Linked DNA regions of Arabidopsis thaliana. The protein of the gene in region 1 interacts with the protein of each later gene in a pairwise test. Each region holds a gene or a part of one and is shown in the gene's direction. Other genes may lie near its edges.

Region 1 (7,530 bases):
ATCAGGAGAATCGTAATAGACAGAGAGAGAGAGATACTTGGCGACAAGAACGCCGAGAGATTTGTCCTTGCGGCTGTAAACCTGGGGAGCGAGAGCGAGAGAATCCATAACCTGGGTGGGGTGGGTGGAGACAACAAAAGATATTTTCTCGGTGACCTGCGAGAGAAAGAGAGACAAGACTTGTGTTTGGATCTGAGCTTTGTTGTGACCTCGGAAACCTTTTATAATTATAGGCGGGGTCTTTTCAAATTAGGAAATACTATCACTTGTTTTCCCGGGGTTAAATGTTATTGTCTAATTTTACACTTTGCTTTTTGATTTTTTACTTTTCTTTAATAGGTATTACTTTTAAATTAATTTGTAAATATTTAGTGTATATATTTATGTAATTAGAGGTTTTAAACATGTTAATAATCATGTAATCATAATTTTATAGCAAAAAGATTTGGTTGTTATTGTCCTTTTTATGATATCCATTCGATAAGGTTTCTTTTTACATGTTGATAATACTTTCTATCATTAGTTTTTCAAAAAAAAATATAACGTGTCTCTGTAGCTCACGTTTTTGTTACTTATTTCTATCATTAGTTTTTTGGAAAAAAAACTTATGTGTCTTTATACCTTGAGCTTTTTGTTACTTATTTGATATTTCCATCATTCATTGTTCAAAAAAAAATATTACGTGTGTCTATAGAACGCGCTTTTTATTTATACTTAAAAAGGATTTTATGATATGAGTCACACATTTATTCATATGAACACGAGATTGATATATTTCCTCAGAATAAAGATTTTAGCAAGTAAAGCAATGAAGCGGAAAAGTTTCTCATTAACATGACGTATCAAATTCATCGTTATTGATCAGCGGTTTAAACTTCAATGGTTAATATGCATTAAAAATGTTTAGACTTTCAACCCTTTATTAGTGTACATGTAGGACTTTCGTATAAAATTTAACCGTTTTATGTAAATGCTTTATCTTTCTAAATAATATATCGTGTTCCCGAAGTTTAGATAGGATATTTGGCTCTTATTCCTCGAAAGAGAAACTCAAATAGTTAAAATGGTAAGATCTTTTATTGAGCCGTTCTAGGGTTTCACCGTAAGAGCAATATAAGTTTTCTTGCACCACCCTTTATGGTGGAAACATTTTGCCTATTATCTTTCAATAAGTCATGTTGTCGAAACATGGAAAACCCGTTCCTCATGCTAAATTTTATGTTTGTGTAAACGTTGATGATTTTTTGGCTGATAATTCAGTCTCACATAGTTTTGAACGAGTGAAAGCCATCAAAACTTTGTCTTATGCAAGCGATCCACATGTGGAAAACTGTAGTATTCCGTCAAAACGTAACAAAAATGTCAAAAACTCTTTCGATCAGTGTGTTGGAAGTTAGTTTAATATGTTCTTGTAGTTGAGATCCGATCAAATGAAAGGAACAAATGAGACAAGAGACAACGGCATGGAGAATATTGTTAGGAAAATATAGCTTTAGAAATCACTTATGTTTTGCATGATATTGGAGAGTATTTTTGCAAAACAATTTCCTGACTAAACATAGAAAAGTGATACTTTAGTTTACATTTATCACAAAATTACAAACTTTATTGTAAGTGTTTTCTCATAACTAAACTAATAAAATAATACCGTGCAATACCGACCTACAATGCAATACACATGTTCTAATGATGTTTTAGTTGTATGTAAAACGTGATCATCTAGCTAGGACTTTTGCAGAAATTGTTTTTTTAGACCTTTAACGTAGAAATCTGCATTTATAAATATTTTGAAACAAAAAGTCAAAATTTAGTTATACTATAAGATAATAAATTTTATCATTAGTCTTTCAAAGATTTGATGATTAATAATTTTCCTATTTTCTAATGATACCATACAAATATTAAACTCTTAAATATAATAATAATTATAATTATAAAACTGACCTTAGGGTTATCTAATAATAATCTAAACCAGTAAAGATACTAGACTTACTCCACAACAGTAACCGACCCCAAAAAAAGTTACTCACCAACTTGGGCCTTAAAAAAAAGTAGCGTATGTCGAAAAGACCATAACACCCACTGGCATTTACTTTCCCTTAAAAAAACAAAAAACCAAACAGGATTCGGAAGAAAAGTCCATCGAATCTAAAAGACCATCATCCGCTTACATAAATCTCAGAGCAGAACACAAGTAAGAAAGAAAAAAGAAGACAACTCGAAACGACGTAGGTTTAATTCGTTAGATAGAAAAGAAAAAGGAAATTCCGAGGAGGAGAATATGCCGTTCTCCTCGTATATCGGCAACAGCCGCCGTAGCTCCACCGGCGGAGGAACCGGCGGTTGGGGCCAATCTCTTCTTCCAACAGCGTTATCAAAGTCAAAACTAGCGATCAATCGAAAACCACGAAAACGAACTCTCGTAGTCAATTTCATCTTCGCCAACTTCTTCGTCATCGCACTCACCGTCTCACTCCTCTTCTTCCTCCTCACTCTCTTCCACTTCGGCGTACCAGGACCGATCTCCTCACGATTCCTTACCTCCAGATCCAATCGGATCGTCAAGCCACGGAAGAATATTAATCGCCGACCCTTAAACGATTCCAATTCAGGCGCCGTCGTTGATATCACAACTAAAGATCTATACGATAGGATTGAGTTTCTTGATACAGATGGTGGTCCATGGAAACAAGGTTGGAGAGTTACGTATAAAGACGATGAGTGGGAGAAAGAGAAGCTCAAAATCTTCGTTGTTCCTCATTCTCATAACGATCCTGGTTGGAAATTGACTGTAGAGGAGTATTATCAGAGACAATCCAGACATATTCTTGACACCATTGTTGAGACTTTATCTAAGGTATGACGAAAGTTTTTGCTTTTGGTTTTAATATTTTAATTCTCTCCCATGGTTATCCCGTGAACAATCTTAAATGTCTTAAAATTCTCATGACGTCATTAAACTCTATAACCAAACTTCTTTGCTGGGTTCTGTTTTTTTTTAGTTTCGTGATGAAACAGAGTTCTAGAAGTTCGTTCTTTTGGAAAATTTGAAGTCTTTGGAGCTAAAGTTTGTTTTTTTATTACTGGGTTTTGAGATTGAAGGATAGCTAGAATCTTATTTGTGTGGGGGTTTGTTTTGAATATGTTTAATAGGATTCAAGAAGAAAGTTTATATGGGAGGAGATGTCATATCTGGAGAGATGGTGGAGAGACGCTTCACCTAATAAACAAGAAGCTTTGACTAAATTGGTTAAGGATGGGCAGCTAGAGATTGTTGGAGGTGGCTGGGTTATGAATGATGAGGTATGTTTCTTACTTGTTGTTTGGTTGTAAATAAATAAATTGTTTTTTTAGTCCCATGCCATTCTTCTGCTGATTGTTTTGATTGAGATTGTATGTGCTAAAGTTTTCTTCTTAATGTTCCCTGCAGGCTAATTCACATTATTTTGCCATAATTGAACAGGTATGTACATCAACGCTTGACTTTCCAGTTTTTCTAGGCACTTTATTTGTCTACTCCTGTTTGCTTTTAGGAATTTTAATTCTTACTGAAACAAAGATGATGACGATGATTACTGCATTTTCATTTAATGTTTCTGTTTCTGCTAGGTTTCTATTTATTATGTCACTTATGGTTGGTTATAGTTCGACATCCCCTGAGACCTCTTTTGATCTGAAAAGTGAAACCTCTCTTTTTTTGGTTATGCATAGAACGTGTGATGTTAGAATGTCATTTGGCTAGTCATAATGCTAGTTAACTAGCCCCTTGTTGCATTGTGTTTCTTTCCTTTTTATACTGATTTTGTACTGGATCACTTCTTCTGCAGATAGCAGAGGGTAATATGTGGCTGAATGACACAATTGGGGTTATTCCTAAGAATTCTTGGGCTATAGATCCCTTTGGCTATTCATCAACCATGGCTTATCTTCTCCGGCGTATGGGTTTTGAAAACATGCTTATTCAAAGGACTCATTACGAGCTCAAGAAAGACCTTGCCCAGCATAAGAATCTTGAATATATTTGGCGTCAGAGCTGGGATGCTATGGAAACCACAGATATCTTTGTTCATATGATGCCGTTTTATTCATACGATATCCCACACACTTGTGGACCAGAGCCTGCAATTTGCTGTCAGTTTGATTTCGCTCGGATGCGGGGATTTAAGTATGAACTTTGTCCATGGGGAAAGCACCCAGTGGAGACCACACTAGAAAATGTGCAGGAGAGGGCATTAAAGCTTCTGGATCAATACAGGAAAAAATCCACTCTATATCGAACTAATACACTTCTTATACCTCTTGGAGATGATTTTAGGTACATTAGTATCGATGAAGCCGAGGCTCAGTTCCGTAACTACCAGATGTTGTTTGATCACATCAACTCTAATCCTAGTCTAAACGCAGAAGCAAAGTTTGGTACTTTGGAGGATTATTTCAGAACAGTCCGAGAAGAAGCAGACAGAGTGAATTATTCTCGTCCTGGTGAGGTTGGCTCTGGTCAGGTTGTTGGTTTCCCTTCTCTGTCAGGTGACTTCTTTACATATGCAGATAGGCAACAAGACTATTGGAGTGGTTATTATGTTTCAAGACCTTTCTTCAAAGCTGTTGATCGTGTGCTCGAGCATACCCTTCGTGGAGCTGAGATCATGATGTCATTTCTGCTAGGTTATTGCCATCGAATTCAATGTGAGAAATTTCCAACAAGTTTTACGTATAAGTTGACTGCTGCAAGAAGAAATCTGGCTCTTTTCCAGCACCATGATGGGGTAACTGGAACTGCTAAGGATTATGTGGTACAAGATTACGGCACCCGGATGCATACTTCATTGCAAGACCTTCAGATCTTTATGTCTAAAGCAATCGAAGTTCTTCTTGGGATCCGCCACGAGAAAGAAAAATCTGATCAATCCCCATCATTTTTCGAGGCAGAGCAAATGAGATCAAAGTATGATGCTCGGCCAGTTCACAAGCCAATTGCTGCCCGGGAAGGAAATTCGCACACAGTTATACTCTTCAATCCATCAGAACAGACGAGAGAGGAGGTGGTGACGGTTGTTGTTAACCGCGCTGAAATCTCGGTTTTGGACTCAAACTGGACTTGTGTCCCTAGCCAAATTTCTCCTGAAGTGCAGCATGACGATACCAAACTATTCACCGGCAGACATCGCCTTTACTGGAAAGCTTCCATCCCAGCTCTTGGTCTGAGAACATATTTCATTGCTAATGGGAATGTCGAGTGTGAGAAAGCTACTCCGTCTAAACTCAAATACGCTTCTGAGTTTGACCCATTTCCTTGTCCTCCTCCATATTCCTGCTCCAAACTGGACAACGACGTTACTGAGATCCGAAATGAACATCAGACTCTTGTGTTTGATGTGAAGAACGGATCACTGCGGAAGATAGTCCATAGAAACGGATCAGAGACTGTTGTGGGAGAAGAGATAGGTATGTACTCTAGTCCAGAGAGTGGAGCTTACCTGTTCAAACCAGATGGTGAAGCTCAGCCAATTGTTCAACCTGATGGACATGTAGTCACCTCTGAGGGTCTGCTGGTTCAAGAAGTCTTCTCTTACCCTAAAACCAAATGGGAGAAATCACCCCTCTCTCAGAAAACTCGTCTTTACACTGGAGGTAATACGCTTCAGGATCAAGTGGTCGAGATAGAATATCATGTTGAGCTTCTTGGTAATGATTTTGATGACCGGGAATTGATTGTCCGGTACAAGACTGATGTTGACAACAAGAAGGTCTTCTATTCAGATCTCAATGGTTTCCAAATGAGCAGGAGAGAAACTTATGATAAGATCCCTCTTCAAGGAAACTACTACCCAATGCCATCTCTCGCATTTATCCAAGGATCCAATGGTCAGAGATTCTCCGTGCACTCTCGTCAATCTCTCGGTGTTGCAAGCCTCAAAGAGGGTTGGTTGGAGATTATGCTGGACAGACGGTTGGTTCGTGATGACGGACGGGGTCTAGGGCAAGGTGTGATGGATAACCGCGCAATGACCGTGGTATTTCACCTTCTTGCGGAATCTAACATTTCTCAAGCAGACCCTGCTTCCAACACTAACCCGAGGAACCCTTCGCTTCTCTCTCACCTCATAGGTGCTCACTTAAACTACCCCATAAACACATTCATTGCCAAGAAACCGCAAGACATATCTGTGCGTGTTCCACAATACGGTTCCTTTGCTCCTTTAGCCAAACCGTTACCATGTGACCTCCACATTGTAAATTTCAAGGTTCCTCGTCCATCCAAATACTCTCAGCAATTGGAAGAAGACAAGCCAAGGTTCGCTCTTATCCTCAATAGACGAGCTTGGGATTCAGCTTATTGCCATAAAGGAAGACAAGTAAACTGCACAAGCATGGCTAATGAACCAGTAAACTTTTCCGACATGTTCAAAGATCTTGCAGCTTCAAAGGTAAAACCAACTTCACTGAATCTCTTGCAAGAAGATATGGAGATTCTTGGGTACGATGACCAAGAGCTACCTCGAGATAGTTCACAGCCACGGGAAGGACGTGTCTCGATCTCTCCCATGGAAATACGAGCTTATAAGCTTGAACTGCGACCTCACAAGTGAAATACACACACTTAAGACTGAACGTTGACTATTTATTGGCTGGTATGGCCTCAAACGATCGTTGACTATAAGAGGTTGGGCTCAGAATCGGCTTCTTCTTGTTCACAAAAGCTGTGCCGGGAACATGAACTGTCAAAAAGAGAGAGTAGAAGCTGGAGCATCTCTGTGTCCATGTAAAACTACTGTAAGGCATTAGTTTTTTTTGGCCGGTTCTTTTTGAGACAAGTTATATTAATTAGTTTTACCATTTTGCCTGGGATTATTATGTTGTGTGTATATAAACTATATGTTATACACATTCGATTGAATTGGAGTGCAAAAGATATGGTCCTAACTCCTTATTCTCTAACTTCAAATTTATCTATGAAGCTTGTGGAAATTTTTCATCTTTTAAGTACGTTTTTGCAATGCAAAAGAAGAAAGAAAAAGCCTAAGAGGTTACTTGTGACCAGAATTTGTTATATGATTGGATCGTGCATGAAACGAACTGTGGTGGATACTGGATAGTGGATCCTCGAATGTTAATTGATGTAGGTAAGCTACGAGGGGATTAGTCTCTAGTGACACCAAAAATATTGTATCTTTCTTTTTATGAAAGAAACCAAAAAGGAGAAAAGGTATAACTAATAGTCATGGTGGTATGGCAAATTATAACCTTTACTCTCATGTAACGTTGTTCTACCACTAATTTTTTAATAACCTTTATAACTCGAAAATCTAGACACATACTTTGTCATTTCTCATAACATAGGGTCATATGTAACTGTTGCCAAAAGAAAATTGATCTTTTGTAATTACGTTAGTGCTTATATTTTTGTTGCAGAAACACAAAAATACGGACCAAAGCTAGTAGTCTACTATCTTTGGAACTAGTGTTGTGTTGTCGGCGTACCAAAGTTAATTTTGATTAAATAATTTAAGTGAGTGAGTTACGAGTAAA
Region 2 (5,114 bases), about 18 Mb from region 1:
TTGAGATAATCCACTCACACTAGTTTCTAAGGTGTTTGTCACACTAGCCACGTTTTGAACCCGAACATCTAGTGACCCTAAAGAATCATGAATCATGCTTGAGGTCTGTATTAAAGCATCAGATTTACTCTCCAAGATATCCAATTTATCTTCTGTATACTGAGCTGTATTCTTGAGCTCATTCACAAGCCTCTCTATCTCATTTTTGAACGCATTACTCCTGCCATACCAAAAAGAAGCAAATTGAGAATCCATTTTGGCAAACAAAAGTAATAACAGCTAGAAAAATATTCATGGTAAATTGTTTTTCTTACTGTAATTGTTGGCAGATGGTGTTGGTTTCAAGCAAGAAATCGAGATAGATCTTATGCTCATGATCATCAAGCTTCTTGAGGCAACTCATCATTACTGATTCATCTTTACAGGTTGGAAACGCCGGTCTTCCCGAGTCTTTGATGAAGCAATCGCTCAAATACCAAGCAAATCTCTTTCTCTTTTCTTCTGTAGCAATCGTTTCTTTGCAGCCAGCCAAGAGGTAACTATAAGCATTTTGCCAGCAACTGGTTAGACCAACAAGCTTGTTTTCAAGGACTTGAACCGCCTTCTGATCACTGAAAACTTCCATGGAGAAGTCGGGGTTGGATTTGCGAGACCGAGAAAAAGAAGAAGAGTATGGATCTTCTGCTGAGGAAGAAGAAGAAGAGAACCATCCCCAACTGTGGCATGTTAATGGAGAATCTAAAAGTATGATCAATAGAAGAAACAGAAGACATTTTCTGCTGAAACGATCCATTTAATCGGATTTGAGATCTTCTTCTTCTCGAGGAGCCTTGTGATTGATCACCTACGAACAAACAAAAGAGACAGAACATTACATTCTGAGAATGTTGTTGTTTATATAACAGAAAACTTGGAGCGCAAGAAAAGGAAGCCCCTTGAACTTCCAATTAGATAAATGGAAGTTTTTTCTTTTTTTGGTATCATCGTCATAAATAAAGTTCATAAAGTTTATAAAAAAAAAGATTATTGGCAAATCAAGTTGCAGATTTAAAAAGAAGAAAATAAATCTCATTAAAATCTTCAGAAAACAATCTTTCTAAAATAAGGAAGAATCTGTATCCACTTTGTTTTTCGTTTTCTGAGATTAATACATGCATTTGAAGTCGTATCAATAAAGATAAACCAAAAACCATTATTACTAAGAAACAATATCGAAAAATAGTCTGAAAAAATCACAGAAAAAAGTACAATCCAAATTTTATCGTAAAAGAGAACAAGAAAATTACACGACAAGGTTAACTTCAAGATCGATATTGGGAGAAAAACATATAAGAACAAAAAAAAAACTAAAAATAGTTATATGACTTCGAATCAGAGAAGAATCTCTACGTTTTTGTCAGTCAATTTCATAACAGAGAGGCAAAACAAACTAAAGTACCAAAAATAAACACGAAAAACAATTTCAATTCTAAAGAATAATTTTCTCAAAAAAATATTTGCATGAATGAATGATGAATCTAAACAAAACACTTACTTTAACATAAGTTTCAAACCAATAAATTAAAGAATGAGAATACAGTGATACAAAAAAAAAACACAAAGCTTACCAGAAAACAGAAGAATTGGAGATTGTTTTTGAGTCGGTGATTATGAGGAAAGTGAGAAATGCAAATTATAAAGTAACGAACGTGTTTGACAAAAAGATGGAAACGTTTCGGGAACGTTTGGTTTACTTCCCGGTTTAATTTGATTTTGGTTATGTGATTAATTTATTTTCGGTTCGGTTTAATTGTATTTGGTTCATTGGTATAAGAATTTTTTAGTCAAAAGCAAAATGCCAAACAATACACAGAGAGGAATGATGGAATCTTCAGCTTTAATAAATCTGCAGACTCTCAAAATTCCGATTCATCTTATTGAAGAACAATTTTCCGGCGAAACAGCCGATGAAGTCTCGCCTGAATCTTCTGTACCTTTCACCGGCGATTGACTTCACTTCAGAATCGAGAGAGAAGAAATCGATGGAAAACTAAAAATAGAAAGAGTTTCAAATTCTCGCTCTCTCTTCAAAACCGCAAATCAAGGGAACGAGAGACGAGAGAGAGAGATGAGTAAACGGAATCCGAAGATTCTGAAGATTTTTCTGTATATGTTACTTCTCAACTCTCTCTTTCTCATCATCTACTTCGTTTTTCACTCATCGTCGTTTTCACCGGAGCAGTCACAGCCTCCTCATATATACCACGTTTCAGTGAATAACCAATCGGCGATTCAGAAACCGTGGCCGATCTTACCTTCTTACCTCCCATGGACGCCGCCGCAGAGGAATCTACCAACTGGCTCCTGCGAAGGTTACTTCGGGAATGGATTTACAAAGAGAGTTGACTTCCTTAAGCCGAGGATTGGAGGAGGAGGAGAAGGAAGCTGGTTCCGATGTTTTTACAGTGAGACATTACAGAGTTCGATTTGTGAAGGAAGGAATCTGAGAATGGTTCCGGATCGGATTGTTATGTCGAGAGGAGGTGAGAAGTTAGAGGAAGTTATGGGGAGGAAAGAGGAGGAGGAGCTTCCTGCGTTTCGACAAGGTGCGTTTGAGGTAGCGGAAGAGGTTTCTTCACGGTTAGGTTTTAAGAGACACCGTCGTTTTGGTGGAGGAGAAGGAGGTAGTGCGGTTTCTCGGCGGCTGGTGAATGATGAGATGTTGAATGAATATATGCAAGAAGGTGGAATTGATAGACATACAATGAGAGATTTGGTTGCTTCGATTCGTGCTGTTGATACCAATGATTTCGTTTGTGAAGAGGTTTGTGCATTTTACTCATTGATCTGGTGGATTTGAAGATTGTGTTTTGGTGAAAAGATTGCATAATTGGAGACTTTTCATTCAACATATGCAGCAATGAATCACTGATTTTGAGCTTTACATTGTTCATATTAATTAGGTTGTGGTTGTGTGAGATTCTTGGAAGACTATGTAGTTATGTGTGGTGGTTATATCTTGTTGGTTTGATGTTTGGTTTGCTTTTTGTTTGGCTGCAGTGGGTGGAGGAACCGACCTTGCTTGTCACTAGATTCGAGTACGCAAATCTCTTCCATACTGTGACAGATTGGTATAGTGCCTATGTTTCGTCTAGAGTCACCGGTTTGCCTAATCGACCTCACGTTGTTTTCGTTGACGGACACTGCACGGTATGCTCCTCTTCTTGTTCATGGTCATGATCCTTATATGAGCAGGGAAAGTCCAGTTTAGACTTGTAGTTAGTTACTCTTCGTTATAGGATTTGGATTTCTTGCGTGTTTATGGTTTTAGTTTCCCTCCTTTGATGAATAAAATTGAATCTTGTATGAGTTTCATATCCATGTTGTGAATCTTTTTGCAGACGCAGCTAGAAGAAACATGGACAGCTTTGTTTTCCGGAATCAGATACGCAAAGAACTTCACCAAACCGGTTTGTTTCCGCCACGCGATTCTTTCACCATTGGGATACGAAACCGCTCTTTTTAAAGGCTTGTCCGGAGAAATAGACTGCAAGGGAGATTCAGCTCACAATCTGTGGCAAAACCCGGACGATAAAAGGACTGCGAGGATATCAGAGTTTGGTGAAATGATCAGAGCAGCTTTCGGGTTGCCTGTCAATAGACACCGCTCATTAGAAAAGCCGCTATCATCATCATCATCATCAGCCTCAGTTTATAATGTTCTTTTTGTCCGCCGTGAAGATTACTTAGCCCATCCTCGTCATGGCGGTAAAGTCCAGTCTCGGCTCATCAATGAGGAAGAAGTGTTCGACTCGTTGCATCATTGGGTTGCAACTGGGTCCACCGGTCTGACCAAATGCGGGATTAACCTTGTGAATGGCTTGCTTGCACACATGTCAATGAAAGATCAAGTCCGAGCCATTCAAGATGCTTCAGTGATCATAGGAGCTCATGGAGCAGGACTGACTCACATTGTCTCTGCAACACCAAACACAACGATATTTGAGATAATAAGCGTCGAGTTTCAGAGACCTCATTTCGAGCTTATAGCTAAGTGGAAAGGATTGGAGTATCACGCGATGCATCTGGCGAACTCACGAGCGGAACCAACGGCTGTGATTGAGAAGTTAACGGAGATCATGAAGAGCCTTGGCTGCTAAAGACAAAAGAAAAAACAAGAATTTAGGATAGTGAGTGAGTTCTAATCTCCGGTGACCGGTGAGTTTGTCATATTTTGATACCTTGTATTTTTGTATCATTTTTTCGATTTGGTTAATGATGTAAATTTGGCTTTTATTTTTTGTACTAAACATGATTTCTAATGGTTATCTTATCTATTATTATTTTACAATTCCTTTTTAAAAGGAAAATGCCAAAATGGTATTTGCATAGTGGATGAACAAAGGTGATAATGTATATGTCAAAACAGAGACTTTCCCTGACGTGTTTCTTCTAGTAAATAAAATAGTAGCTGTCGAAAGAAAAAATCAATAAAGAGGACAATAAAAATAATGGAGATGCGGGGTATCGATCCCCGTACCTCTCGCATGCTAAGCGAGCGCTCTACCATCTGAGCTACATCCCCATATGTGTACTGATTCAATTTAGTTTTATATAAATCAGATTTATAAAAAACAAATTCAACGAAACATTTATTGCCAAGAAAAAGAGCGACGTAAAATTTAATTTGAGACAAATTGGAAATTTCATTTTCTACTCATATTTCATTAATCTAAATATCTAATATGTATAATTCAAACCGATTTACCTTAGTAAAGATATAATAATTGAAAATTCTTTAACTTAAAGTAGGATCAACGACTCACACGATCGCAGTATATCATTGAAAACTCGAGATGTGATTAAACTTTATTAATGATGAAAATTATAATTTTTTAAAAAAATGGTATAAGCTACAAAAATCACTTCAACCAAATCAATACCAATTGTAATACTACAACGCGGCTGTATAAAAAAAAAAAAAACGTCGGAATCTTCAAACTGACGTCGTTTGAAACCAAATCATCTTCACAAAATCCGACACTGTGGCTCGCCGGTAACGCCGTCTCGCGTCGGTAACTGCGGCGGCGAAGAATACCACATTTCCGGTACGTAATAAGGATAATAATAATACG

What was found.
Region 2: the proteins of GMII (region 1) and XYLT come close enough for resonance energy transfer, tested with the Arabidopsis thaliana proteins (one study listed by BioGRID).

The regions. Positions count from the first base shown.
Region 1 is NC_003076.8:4,836,544-4,844,073, reverse strand, and holds GMII (golgi alpha-mannosidase II), read left to right. Parts: upstream 1-2,006; 5' UTR 2,007-2,281; coding exon 2,282-2,857; intron 2,858-3,153; coding exon 3,154-3,303; intron 3,304-3,430; coding exon 3,431-3,463; intron 3,464-3,827; coding exon 3,828-6,590; 3' UTR 6,591-7,003; downstream 7,004-7,530. Other genes in the region: DEL2 (DP-E2F-like 2), read right to left, coding at 38-108. UniProt on the Arabidopsis thaliana protein: Catalyzes the first committed step in the biosynthesis of complex N-glycans. It controls conversion of high mannose to complex N-glycans; the final hydrolytic step in the N-glycan maturation pathway.
Region 2 is NC_003076.8:22,480,279-22,485,392, forward strand, and holds XYLT (beta-1,2-xylosyltransferase), read left to right. Parts: upstream 1-1,846; 5' UTR 1,847-2,107; coding exon 2,108-2,803; intron 2,804-3,039; coding exon 3,040-3,189; intron 3,190-3,380; coding exon 3,381-4,139; 3' UTR 4,140-4,353; downstream 4,354-5,114. Other genes in the region: GEX1 (gamete expressed protein 1), read right to left, coding at 1-220, 315-793; AT5G55507 (hydroxyproline-rich glycoprotein family protein), read right to left, coding at 5,008-5,114. UniProt on the Arabidopsis thaliana protein: Glycosyltransferase involved in the xylosylation of N-glycans. Possesses beta-1,2-xylosyltransferase activity, transferring xylose from UDP-xylose to the core beta-linked mannose of N-glycans. Involved in the biosynthesis of glycoprotein bound N-glycans.